2 linked regions of the Drosophila melanogaster genome follow. The protein of the gene in region 1 purifies or fractionates together with the protein of each later gene. This does not show direct contact. Each region holds a gene or a part of one and is shown on either strand. Other genes may lie near its edges. The genes, in order: stv and STUB1.

What was found.
Region 2: the proteins of stv (region 1) and STUB1 purify together in Drosophila melanogaster (affinity purification with western blotting, with the first as the bait; one study listed by BioGRID). This does not show direct contact.

The regions. Positions count from the first base shown.
Region 1 is NT_037436.4:13,475,893-13,483,790, reverse strand, and holds stv (starvin), read right to left. Parts: upstream 6,251-7,898; 5' UTR 5,564-6,250; coding exon 5,309-5,563; intron 3,348-5,308; exon of another isoform or gene 3,189-3,347; intron 3,028-3,188; exon of another isoform or gene 2,877-3,027; intron 2,759-2,876; coding exon of another isoform or gene 2,756-2,758; coding exon 1,422-2,755; intron 1,357-1,421; coding exon 1,038-1,356; 3' UTR 276-1,037; downstream 1-275.
Region 2 is NT_033779.5:10,435,394-10,439,789, reverse strand, and holds STUB1 (STIP1 homology and U-box containing protein 1), read right to left. Parts: upstream 2,243-4,396; 5' UTR 1,952-2,242; coding exon 1,829-1,951; intron 1,750-1,828; coding exon 1,551-1,749; intron 1,490-1,550; coding exon 1,348-1,489; intron 1,200-1,347; coding exon 1,094-1,199; intron 1,035-1,093; coding exon 978-1,034; intron 909-977; coding exon 666-908; 3' UTR 550-665; downstream 1-549. Other genes in the region: Nse4 (Non-SMC element 4), read right to left, coding at 1-119, 171-261; holn1 (hole-in-one), read right to left, coding at 2,621-3,283, 3,349-3,541, 3,601-3,704.

The sequences.
Region 1 (7,898 bases):
TATATAACGTATAATCCATGCCACATATGCAACCCTATCATACGTTGTTCCCATTTGTATACATATTATATCATTGTTTGGCCTCGATTGCCGAAGCCGTGTTGCGTCCTTTTAAAATGTTCTTAGGATACATACAAAGTAACCACTTAGTCAGTATTTAAGGCCCGCTCCATTCCCGATCCAGGGTTCTTTTGTATATGTATTATTGATCGAGATTTATAACCTTTTCGATAATAAACTTTGATAATTGTGCAACCGAAGGATAACACAGTTTTATGGTCAACAATATCTACATTTATTTTCGCATTAATTAGTAGCATAAATAGTTATCATAGTTTTTTTTTTTTTTCTATAAGAGTTTACGTTCGTTTAACAATTCACCTGCAGCAAAGCCGTGAGTGGTGCACTCGGCGTGATTGGATGGATGAGTTGGCCTGTGGCAAGCAAGCGCGTCTGCTGTAGATTTGTATGAGATCATACGGCGGCTTGCTGCCCCTGTTGCTGCTCATCGGTACAATTTACGTATAAAAACTGGACTCAGGTTCAAAAATATCCTCATGGTGATCATCTATCGCTTAAACATAATCAGCTCTTTTAAGTGAAGCAACCCTTGTTGCCAAATCGTTTTCGCTCTGTTAACTTCCGAATTCTATGCAGGCACATTTTCTCAATATTAATTCTCTTACTAGCCTATAATCTACGCTGTGTGGTGTGTGTGTGTGTGTGTGTGTGTTATGATGTGTGGGGATGAGTGGGTGTTGAGTGGTTGACACGTGAGATTTGCATATGTTTAGATAGTACGGTTGTGCTTCTACGAAATACTAGCAAAGATTCGTCGCCAGCTCCTCCTATTCACATTCACATTACACATCAAATTCACTTTCACATTTACTTTGAATTCAGTAAAATCAAGTCTGTCGCTGTCCGTTGATGAGTCGGGATCGGAACTCTTCTCTATCCTCCGCCTGTTGTCACTTAAATTTGGTTAATTTGCGTAGCTGCTTCGAAACGGTCGCCTTGTAGAGGCGCTGTGTTCATCATTCCGACGTCGTTGTGGTTGTCTCCGACTGAACGGCGGACTGTGTCGCCTCCGCGGCGGTGGCTTCCGAAGCAGCTGCGCCCTCGACGGCAGCAGCATTTGGTGGTGCTGGTAGAGGGATGGGTTCCTGCATCTTTGTAGCATCCTGTGGCTGTGGAGTCACTGGCTCCGCATTTTGTCCGGCCGCTTCCGAGGCAGCAACTGCACCTGTGTCAACCGCTGGAGCTGTTGCGCTAGGTGCAGGTGCTGCTCCTGATGCCGCTCTGGCATTCTCCTCGGCCTTGGCCTCCAGCACATTTATCGAAGCCTGAATGCATCTGCAAGGAACAATCATTGAATTAATTAAATTCGATAATGAGCTCTGGTGACTCTGGTCACTTACTTGATAGCCTCCTTTCGGGCCAGACGAATGCTGTCCTTGCCGTTTGTGTCGATGGTGTCTAGCTTAAGCAGGTTGCGGGTCAGCATCTCGTCCAGGTAGGCGTACTCCTTCTCCTCGCGCGTTCCCTTGAACTGCTCCACCTTGCCCATGAGCTCCAGTACGTCGCGCTGAATGTCCTGGATTTTGTTAATAGAGTTGAGGGTATGTGGTGTCTGTGGCGGCAATCCAGCGGCTCCCTCAACTGGCACCTGCTGCTCAGGTTGCGCCTGGGTGTTTAGTGGCGTCGGTCTGTTGTGCTGCTGTGGAGCAGCGTGTGCCTGTGGCTGCGCCTGCGCATATGCCTGTGCCTGAGCTTGGGCCTGAGCACTGGGCGGAGCGTTCTGGTTCGGTATCTCCTTGTGGGCATTGATGATGGGCTCGGAGCGACCCTCAACAAAGATGGGAATGGTGCGCACATAGGTGCCACCCGGGGTCTGTGGAGCTGGCGGCGGGGTCTGCTGCTTTTGCTGGGGATGCGTCTGCTGGTGCGGCGCATAGTAGGTCTTGAACTGCTGACCCTGAACGGGCGGACTTGTCTGGGTGCCAAACGGTTGGCTATGTACTCCCGGTTGCTGATGCTGTTGCTGCTGCTGGTGATACTGCAGATTCTGCTGCTGCTGCTCTGGCGGAGGGGCGGAGTGGGATCGCAGTCCCTGATCCTGCTCGGCGACACTCTTCACGCCCATGTCGACAGTGTTTCGCAGTCCGTGCTGGTTCAAGTTAGTCGGCGGGGCACAATCAACCTCCGAGCGACCGGCAGGATCCTCCGTCTGGATGGCAGCATCGCAAAGGCGCTTTGAAGGCGTCTGCGGCACCTGCTGCTGGGTTGGTCCGGCATAGACTGGCTGTTGCTGGGGCGGCACACCGAACTGGAAGTGCGTCTGGGGTTGCTGTTGGGTGTACTGCGGCTGTGGCTGCGGCTGTTGCTGCTGTGGAACTTGTCCGGGTGCAGGAGCAGCTCCGGTACCACGTCTGCCTCCGAAACCATCTGGGATATACTGGCGGAACTCCGAGGGCAGCCGATTAAAGAAGTCATCATCGTGGTCCATGTGAGTGTTGGCCCCACCGGCCATTCGACCTCGGCGGCCCATCGTTGAGAAGCGGGGGAAACCAAAGTCTGGATCGTCGAAATAGGATGGAAAGTCATCATCAGCATGGACTTGACCACTGGGACCGTGCAAACTGCTCCGCTTACGTGAGTCGCCGAAGCCGGCGAAGGGATCGTGCATCCTGCCCAGGTGCGAGCGCGGGAACATGTTGTCCATGTCCATGTTCGGTTCGAATCCAAAGGTCGGCTGCTATCAACAGAGAGTAATTATAAATAATTAAATTATAATGAATTCGGAATGATTCTAGCTAAGAAGCTCTAATATGCAGGTATTCTTTTGGTAGCAACCACATTCTAATAGTTATTACTTTTATAATTTAAATCATGTTTATTAAGTTGCAAATATTGGTTTGAAAGTAAAAGTGCTTTTATCCGGTTAAAAATCGTATTTTAAATAAAATAATCGCTGTTTCACATCAACTATGTATTTGTTCTGTGTAGCAATAGAGGAGTGCAAATTGTTCGACTCGGTGGGCGAATTGTTTATAAATAACAGGGTGAGTCAGAACCATATAGATTGGGTACGAGTGTGGGCAAACAAGTGATGTCAATTGGCACTGAATGAACAGCTGTTGGGGAGCGGATGGATCTCGATGTCGATGTCGATGTCGGAACCTTACCTTTTGCCTGCTCAATTTGTTAACTTTATCAATGAGCTGTGCTCACTGCTCGTCAATTATTTCGCTACAAGTGTATTTACGAGTATTTAGCTATAGCCTGAATGTCTTTTTAGCTTTTGAATGCTTTTCCGCTTGGTGACGTGATGCACTGCGTCCGATTGTTTACGTGCGAATGAGGCGACTCGTCGGCCGAGAAGGCCTTTTAAAGCGAATGGCGCCCACTCTCGAATCCGCTGGCTGATTCTGGCCACTTCTCGTAGTTTCTGAGACAGTCGAGTGTTCTCGGTTCGGCTCGACGACCGATTTTGAGTCTCTCCTAAAAGGACGCTCTCTCTGCTGTTCAACTCAATTACCCGAAGTGACTTGTGGAAGTACAGTGAAATAAAAGATTCGGCTTTACTGTATCACATTTTCTGAATTGAACGGTAGGGACAAGATAAGTGTGTTTACTTCAACAATTAGTATTGTTTTACAATACCCTTCAATTATTAATGATAATTTACTGGCTTTCTTACATAAGCGCACTTGAAGAAATTGTCGTATATACGAGTATGTATACAAATTTGTATTTTTTTAAGGTTTTATAAGGCTTTTTTTAAATGGGAAACCTTTTGTAAAACAGATATATGTTTAAAAACGCCTTTCTGCGGTTACAAGAAGTTCTTAAACTTCTCGCTATCATGGCACCTTTATCTGTTTAAAGTCCAAAGTTCACCTTAGCACGTACCCACTGTACGTTAAGTTGGTGATGACGTTTTTATATAGTCAACGTCACCAACGCATTGCCGAGGCCCCCGCGTTGGCCAAGTTGATGTTGAGCAACCAAAATCCACCCACGCTTCCCATTAGACAACTGGCATGCTTCCACCGATATGCGCACATATGGAGTGCCATTGTGTGTTTACTGTACGGTGTGCCCACCTACAGTGGAAGACACAGACACGCACAGCAGACTTTGTTAAAGAATCAAGAGCGGGCCAATAGTATAGAGCGTTATTTCGATTCGACCAATTCTCAGCGCCCAAATAGAAAGAACGAGAGCATTAGCAGCAGAGCAACGCGTCATTAGCTTGTGTGTTTTCTTCTAGAAATTTTCAAATATTTTCTACGATTTGGTCGTGATAGATTTGGATTGCTGGCCATTAGATTAGGCCGCAAAGAAACAGCTGTACATTACTTGTCTCTGGTAAAATTCCGCACGCGTTGCGGCATTAATCATACGCAGCGTTGGCCACTAGACGAGCGCTTGACACGACATCAGCCCAGAAACTTGGCCATCCCCCCAGCAGATACTGCAAGCTTATGCCCAGTAGGTCAACAGAGTGTGCACACACACTTGACACACACTTGCAGGGGGTTGGATTTTCCCTCGCAACCCACTTTGTGGAGGGGTGAGTAGAAGAGGCTTTTACGCAACCACACTGACTTTTTCATTGTTCCGCACTCTTATTGCGATTTAGAGAGTTTACATAGCGCTAAAAGGCAATGCGAAATTGCCAAGGATTCAGTCCGAAAAGCGAAACAAATGGAAAAACCGCTGTGTCATAGCACAGTAAAATAAATAAAACTTAATCGCCTACCCAAGAATATTTCGCAAACAAAGAGTTAAGCTCGTCGGTCATTAATAGTAATTTGGAAAATGCCCAAGGTATTTAGAAAAATCTGGCCATCCTATAAGTATCTGTGAAGTACATTTTGTTGAATTAAAACAAAAGTAGTAGTAGATGCAGACTAACTAAAGACAAGACTATCATATTTAAATCACTCTTCATTTCGATTTAGTTATCACAGTCAGCTCCTATTCTATTTCTGAGTAGAAGTTGAACATAGATCATGCTACAATACCCACTGTAATTATTCCAAACCAACTGTTTCCGCGTCTAGAATCCCCACTGTACTTAAATTGCCACACGGCTAGCGAACAACAAAAACCATGACACTCATACGAATATGTCCCAGCTATGCGATCGAGGCTTTTTGGGGGCGGGGGAGATCTGGAGGGTGGGGGTTCGACCTTGCCAGGCGCCAACCTTGGGATCTCTCGCCGCTGCCGCTCGTCTGCCACCCTCTCCGCCTGCCCCCCTCCCCCCCTCGACAGACAAGCGCTGGGGGCCACTCACCTGAAAATGTTGCTGCTGCTGATTTGGAGGAACCTGCTGGTGCTGCTGGAAGTGCTGCTGCTGCTGCCTGGGCGATCCGTAAGCGTTTTGGGGAGTGTGGAACTGTGCCGACTGCTGTGGCGATCCGTAGCCGCCACTCACGTACTCCCGGTTTACGGGTATATTGACACCGGGACCGCCGGGTGAGACATTATTACCGGCGGCGGTGGCGGGATTGCTTTGCGCCTGATTGGCCGCCATCACAGTGGGCTTCATGGATGATTCGCTGGCCAGGAAAAGACCGTAACCGTAATCGCAATCGTATCCGTATCCGTACCGCTCGTACCGCTGGCCTAAACGCTATCGAATCCGTCGACGTTTCGCTGCGTAGCGACAATTTTTAATTTATTTCCTTTTGTTGATACTTGGCTGTGACTTTTCGTCGGCGACTACTTGTCGTGCCAGTTGTTGAGATTAATTTTTGGACGCGGGCTGGTGTGCACGAGGATGGCGGGGGCTTTTAATGGAGGGGTGCGGGCGCGGGCTCACCTTGAGCGACGACGCGTGCGAATACCGCTCGATTTCGATTGGGGCTTCTCGTATGTTCCTGATGCTTTAGCTCCTGCTGCTGCTGTTGGTGCTGCTGCTGCTGCTGTTGCTGCTGCTTTTTTGCTAAACGACCGGAGTGTGATGTCACTTTTGGCCACACTTTCTAGCTGCCGCACACCGATACGGCCACTTTTTTACTTCCACTTTTTTCAGCTTTTTAAGTATTTCCGCTCGCGCTCTCTGGCCCTGCGCTAGTGTTTGTGCGAGTGTGGGTTTTCGGATTTCTATATTCAATTTAAAATATATATAGATTTTTTATTTTTGCACATTGCCACTCGGTTGTTTGTTGTTGTTTTTACGGGGCCACGCATCCACACGGGCGTCCTCACGCTGCCAAAGTTGCTCGTCGACTGAGCGCCATCGCCATTTGCTTCTAACCATTACCGTATAATTTGCCTTTGCCAACAGCCCCACTGTGGCGCTCTCTCTCCCTCTCTCTCGCCCGCTCGATTCTCATCCGCTCTCCGTTCGGCCTCCCTCTATCTTTCTCTCGCGGTAAGCTTTGCTTGGCTTCTACCTGGCTTTTCTCCGGCGGTTTCAGACCTTAATTGGTAAATGTTTAATACTATCTTACGGATACGGATACCGTTCTCTCGATCCGCTCTCCCCAGCTCGCTCTCCCCACTCTCTCTCTCTCCGTGCACCGATCAGACATCAGACTTATAAATAGAAAGTTGGCCAAGAGAGCGGCTCTCTAAAACGCATTCCTCGGCAGTCGCATGGCTTCTAAAATTCAAATCTGTAACCGTAAGCCACACTGCGGGAAATTTGGCACGATAAATGACTCTAGTTGGTAGTAACTATCGAATATGACCATTTCGCGATATAAAAAACGGTTTATAAATTCTTGAATAAAATTGGGAAAAATATAAATATCAAACTCCTACGCAGAAACTAACTGTTGTGCTCATCAGTTATAATATCAGTTATAATATGCTTAATTTAGACAATCAAAATCTGTATTTCTCTTACCATTACCGTCGGGTCCATTATGCCATTTTTAACCAAAAGTATTCAATTAATCTTCTTTTATCTCAGTGCCTTCGGGCCGCCTACATACAACCACTGCGTCACAACCGCCAAAGAGCAGCAACGAGTAAGGCAAACACGAAGGCAAAAAGAAGGCAAAATCAGCAGCGTAAACAGTTGTCATCGCCCACTGACGGAGTCTTGTTGAGCGGCCAATCAATCGATCAATGACTAACGATCTGTTGCCACAGCTCCCCCGCACTTGATACCTTTTCAGTTTTCGCCATAAACAAATGTACAATGTGCAGTAGCGACAGAATGTCTTCGCAAGTCGACTGTTATTGCAAAACGATCAGCTGATAACCGCCAGTTGTTTGGACCAAATGTTTACTCCACCTAAGCAACCAGCGCCATAAGCATTTTCTTTTGAATCACGAAGTGACCCACGCGTACAGCTCTGGTCAACATAATAGGGTTGGATAAAATGGGTTTTCCGAGACCATCACAAAATTATAAAAACTTAAAAATCAATTTTAATTCAATTTAATTTGAGAACAAAGTTGGTCAGAATATAGGTCAAATAACTTAAATAACTTATTGAATCATCGGTTGCTTGAAGCTTTAGCCAAGAATATTTTTTTTATTAAAGTATCGTTAAAAATATATTTTTGCTGGGGCACGATTGGTATAATTACAATTATTCTGTATCATTTCCGTATCCATTTCGCTGATAGGATTTCTTTAAACGTTTCTCAATTGTTTCATTATTAGTATATTAACCTCAATTGTAGATCTGTGAGAATATGCATGCTCGTCTGTATGAATGTATATAATCAGACGGCCGGCGGCGGCACGCCCACCTATCTTTATCCATTAGATTTATTTTCCAAATACTTTCTCGTTGTTTGGGCGAACCACTGCGTCGCCAGGGCATATAAAATGGAAATAATTCATAATTAAATATTGCACATCTCTGTATAGATATAGAAGTGAATTGTATACGTTTATATCTGATTATATATATACATGCGAT
Region 2 (4,396 bases), on another chromosome or scaffold:
AAGTTCCGTGGAGTTTGTACGGCGGTCTTCATGTCCCTTGCTGATATCGTTGGCTGTCTGAATGATTTCCTCTATGGCCGTGATAGACTCTCCGATGGTGTTGTTTTCGATTTGTTGCTCTGCAATTCATATAGTTATTTCAGATATTAGTAATTTATGATTTAACTTACCTATCTCAATATTCTTTTCGATCAGATTTTGCAGACGCAGTATGCGAGCATCTTGGTCATCCATTTGCGATTGGCTTTCAGACGAATCCATATTATTGTTAAATAAATACTAAACAAAGAAGAGCGAAGTTAATCCAATTGTGAATTCACATAAACAAATTTCTTTGAAAATGATTTCTGCAAATCTGTAAGCAGCTGTATATCGATAATTTGTTTGGTCAAGATATCACCAACTTTTTGACTAACTGGAACGGGTGATCGAAACTATATTGTTTTCACACTACCGCTAACTCTCTATCGATATCGTGCAAAAGCTTTTTTATTTATATTTTGAACATTATGCTGTTTAATTTATTAATAATTACAATTTATCCATTTACAATATAAATCTCAATTGCAGATCCACATTTATTATCACTTATCTGGTTTTTAGACAATGGGAACTGGGTTCTAACATCTAATCAATTACAATGACAATGCCAACTAATAAGTAACTTAATAATCTAAAGACCATTCATTCTCGGCAATAAAAGAGTCAACCACTTCCTTCATTGAAAAATTTGGTATTAGTTGATCCTGAGTGAGCTTAACGCGTGTCACAGGATCGAAATGTCCAACCCGCTGCAAGTGTTCTTCTATATCTTTTCGTTCATACGTAATTCCAGATGGAGTTATCACAGGGTCTGTTAATATTTCAAAACTTATTTTGCCACATAGAAAATCGGGAACTTCACGTTTCTGTAATATGTAAATAACAATATTAGAACAATATTTTTAATATTGGTTATTTTTCCTTTAGTTTCTTACCTTTCGACGTTCGTCAACCTTAGAAAATATATTGTTAAGTTCCTTAATATGGTCATCCTAAAAAGTAAAATTAGATTGTCAACTCCGCTAAATATTCTGGTTAAAGTCCAACTTACGCATTCTTGCTCAATTTCCTGTTGCTTGTCTTTCAGCTGCTCATCGTGTACATTTCCATTCAGCTTTAAATTGGCCAAACGGCTTTCCATGTCCCCTTTTATTAGACTGAAACATAAATATTTAGGTTTTGCACAAATTTCGCTTTTTTTAATATATATTCTATCACATGAGGACAACAATTGCCTCGATATCGTCGTGCGGTGACTAAATTTAGTTTGCAAAAGGCATCTAGAGAATTCGAATAACATCTTACCCATTTAAATAGCTTTGCAGCTCGATTTCCTGCTGTATTCGCTTCTCCTCCATAACATTCCAGCGCTTTTTGCGAGCTAGTCGCAACTGTAGTGTAATATCATCCCCAAAGTTTTGCTTCTGCTCCTTGGACAGATCGTATGCTATAAGTTTCATATATGGTTAGTTAGTGTAGAGAACATCAAAGGTCAGGTATTATCTAACCCCGTTGAAGGTGCTTTATAGCCTCGTCAAAGTTGTCGATTTCCATGAGTCCTTGGCCCAGGAAGAAGTGACCCTTCAACAGATTCCCATCGATGTCGAGGGCGCGCCGACTATCCTGGCAGCACAGTTCCCATCTCTTCAGTTTCAGGTTGCAGAGGGCTCGGTTTGTGAAGTATGTGGCGTTTGTGGGGTTCTTTATCTACATATTATATGGAGCATAGTGCACATGTAAACAACAAAATACACATCACAATAACAAAAATATGTGAGACACCTACGATGGCCTTTGAGTAGCAATTTATTGCGTCGTCATATTTTCGGGCTGCAAACAAGCAGTTTCCCTGCTCCTTTAATTGCAGATCTGATAAATTGGTCGTGGAATAGATGTGCTTGGTCGTCATCCTGACGAATCTTCTGCGCCTGGTCCCAAATTTGATTTTCCACCGATGAAAAGTGAGTGTGTGTCCAACAACACCGAAGCACTCGTAAATTTGTTTCCTCTGCAAGAATTGGGGAACTGCTGCACGAACTTAACAGTTAACAAAGTATTAAGTGGGAAACGGTAGTGACTTTTGAACGCTCATAACACCAAAAAGATCTTGAGCTATTCGCCTGTATTTAATTAAACATAAAACAATTTTCAGCTACGTTAATCGATGTGTTTCTAGAGTTGCCAAGACTCACAAGCTTAAATTAAAGCTGCACATTCATCGATTGCACTATCACCGCCCAAACGATACTTTTGCCACACTATCGTTTGCACATTTCAAAAACAACAGTGCCATTTTCGAGTTTCTCGACTATCAGATATCTCTTACTGAACTAGTGGGTCTAATAGAAGAATCTTTCGCTATTCGTCACTAGCGCAAGTAACTCGGATACATAATTTGGTATATCTGACCAAATTTAAGAGCCGACAGAATCAATATGAATATGAATTTTATTTTAAGTCCAAACCAAGTGCAAACTAATTGAAACCTCTTGTAAAGTATACAGTATACAATTATAGAACAAAGTATTTGCAGAAAACATGTTAAAACCCAAAGAATTTAACATTTGTTAACTAAGGCCTACAAGTACAAATCGAAATCTATGCGGTTGCTTGTATAGAAATTTGTGTTTTCGCCGCACTTTCGCACATAGACTCCGTTTTTAAAGTAGTTCTCCTGGGACCATTTCAACATTTTCTCCGTGGAAAAGGGTCCCTGGATATCAGTCTCATCCTGCGACCATTTAAACTCCCAGGTCACCTCTGAGGTAGTCGTCGTTGGTTTGGAGCTATCACTCGACGATGTCTTAGAGCGCTCCAATTCTTTCGTTTCGAAATCATCTGCATACATATCAATATCATCGGCTACTTTAGGTTTGCTCGTTCCTGGCAAATCGGCGATCTTGGCCTTGATGCTTTCGTACGTATCCTGATATATATCCATATTGCCCGTCTTCGAGAGAATCTCGTTGGCCAGCTCGGTGAGCTGAGAGATTTCCTGTGTCTTTGGGTCAACGATGCCGGCCTTTTTCTGCTTAATCCTCTGAAGGGTTGTTAGGACGGGGCGCTGCTTACCCAGACGCTGCAGGGTCATCTTGACAGTCTCTCCCGGTTTCATAAACTCGACCATTTTCATGAGGTTCATGGACAAGTTAAAGGCCTTGCCCACGGGTTCGTTCTTCTCCTCATCGGAAGAGTTTTCTTCATCTTTTGCCGGGTCGAAGGCGTTCTTCTGTGTGCCAATCTGTTAGGCAAATATTGCTTTTAAATTAAATGATTGTGTACAGGCAGCAGTGATGGAATCCTTACTTTAACCCAGTCTATGTTGTCCAACCAATTGTCCTTTGCTTCCGTCTCCTTGTTCCAATGGTAGTGACCATCTTTGTCGAAGTGTCCCTCCTCCAGTTCTTCCTTCATATTGAAGGGTGTTACCTTCACATCGTCTTCCACTTTTGCCACGCCCTCCTCGCCGCCCTCAATGTCGCTATCATTGAGGTATTCCCTGCAAACAAAAAGTGCCGAAATCAAAACAATCAATTGTTTGCACATTTTAAGCATTACCTTTCGTAGTCGTCAGAATCCTCTTCATCGGAGTCAAGCGTGTGTTTCTTGAAGGATTCCTCTTTCACTTTCTGGGATGCTTGGTGCTTTCTTTTGCTCGCCATTTTATCAAGAACTCAAGACAAAACTAAATGCAATGTCAATATTTTTAAGCGACTATTGATTCTATTTACGTTAGTGAAGGTAAGTCTGATATCGATAGCTGGAACATATGCTGTTCCAATACCAATGTTCCTGTAGTTTCTAAAATTTATTTAAATTATATTTAATTAATGTATATATAATATGTTTTGTATTCCATTTGATATATAGTATGATTATGTGAAGAAAGCTTATAGAAATAGACTTAGATTTGATTGATTTGCAAGCTGAATAAGAAGATATTAATATACACCTACTCGCATTTAATATATTATCATTGTTATTAAAAATATACCTTTTCATTGCAGTTTGAATTAATAAATCCTCAACATTTTTAAAGTATTAAATATCGAAACCAGTCTTAAAACCATCGACTGTTAACTGCGCCTGCGCTGAGTTTTCGCGTAAATTCTTTTCCTCCAATGTCATCCTGCTTGTGAGAGGTCCCTAGAATCAAAAGTTAATAGTTTTTTTTTTCACCAATCCGCTGTGTTACAATTAATTGTCGAATCAAAGGTTTAGCCAACCAATTCCTAAAATTATGGTAACCAGCGACCGCCATAATCAAACAAAAATCCGCCAAACCAGAAGCTAACCAGAGAAAAAAGTTCCCCATCCGCCCACTAGTAAATCCGTTAGGATAACTCCGGGAAGG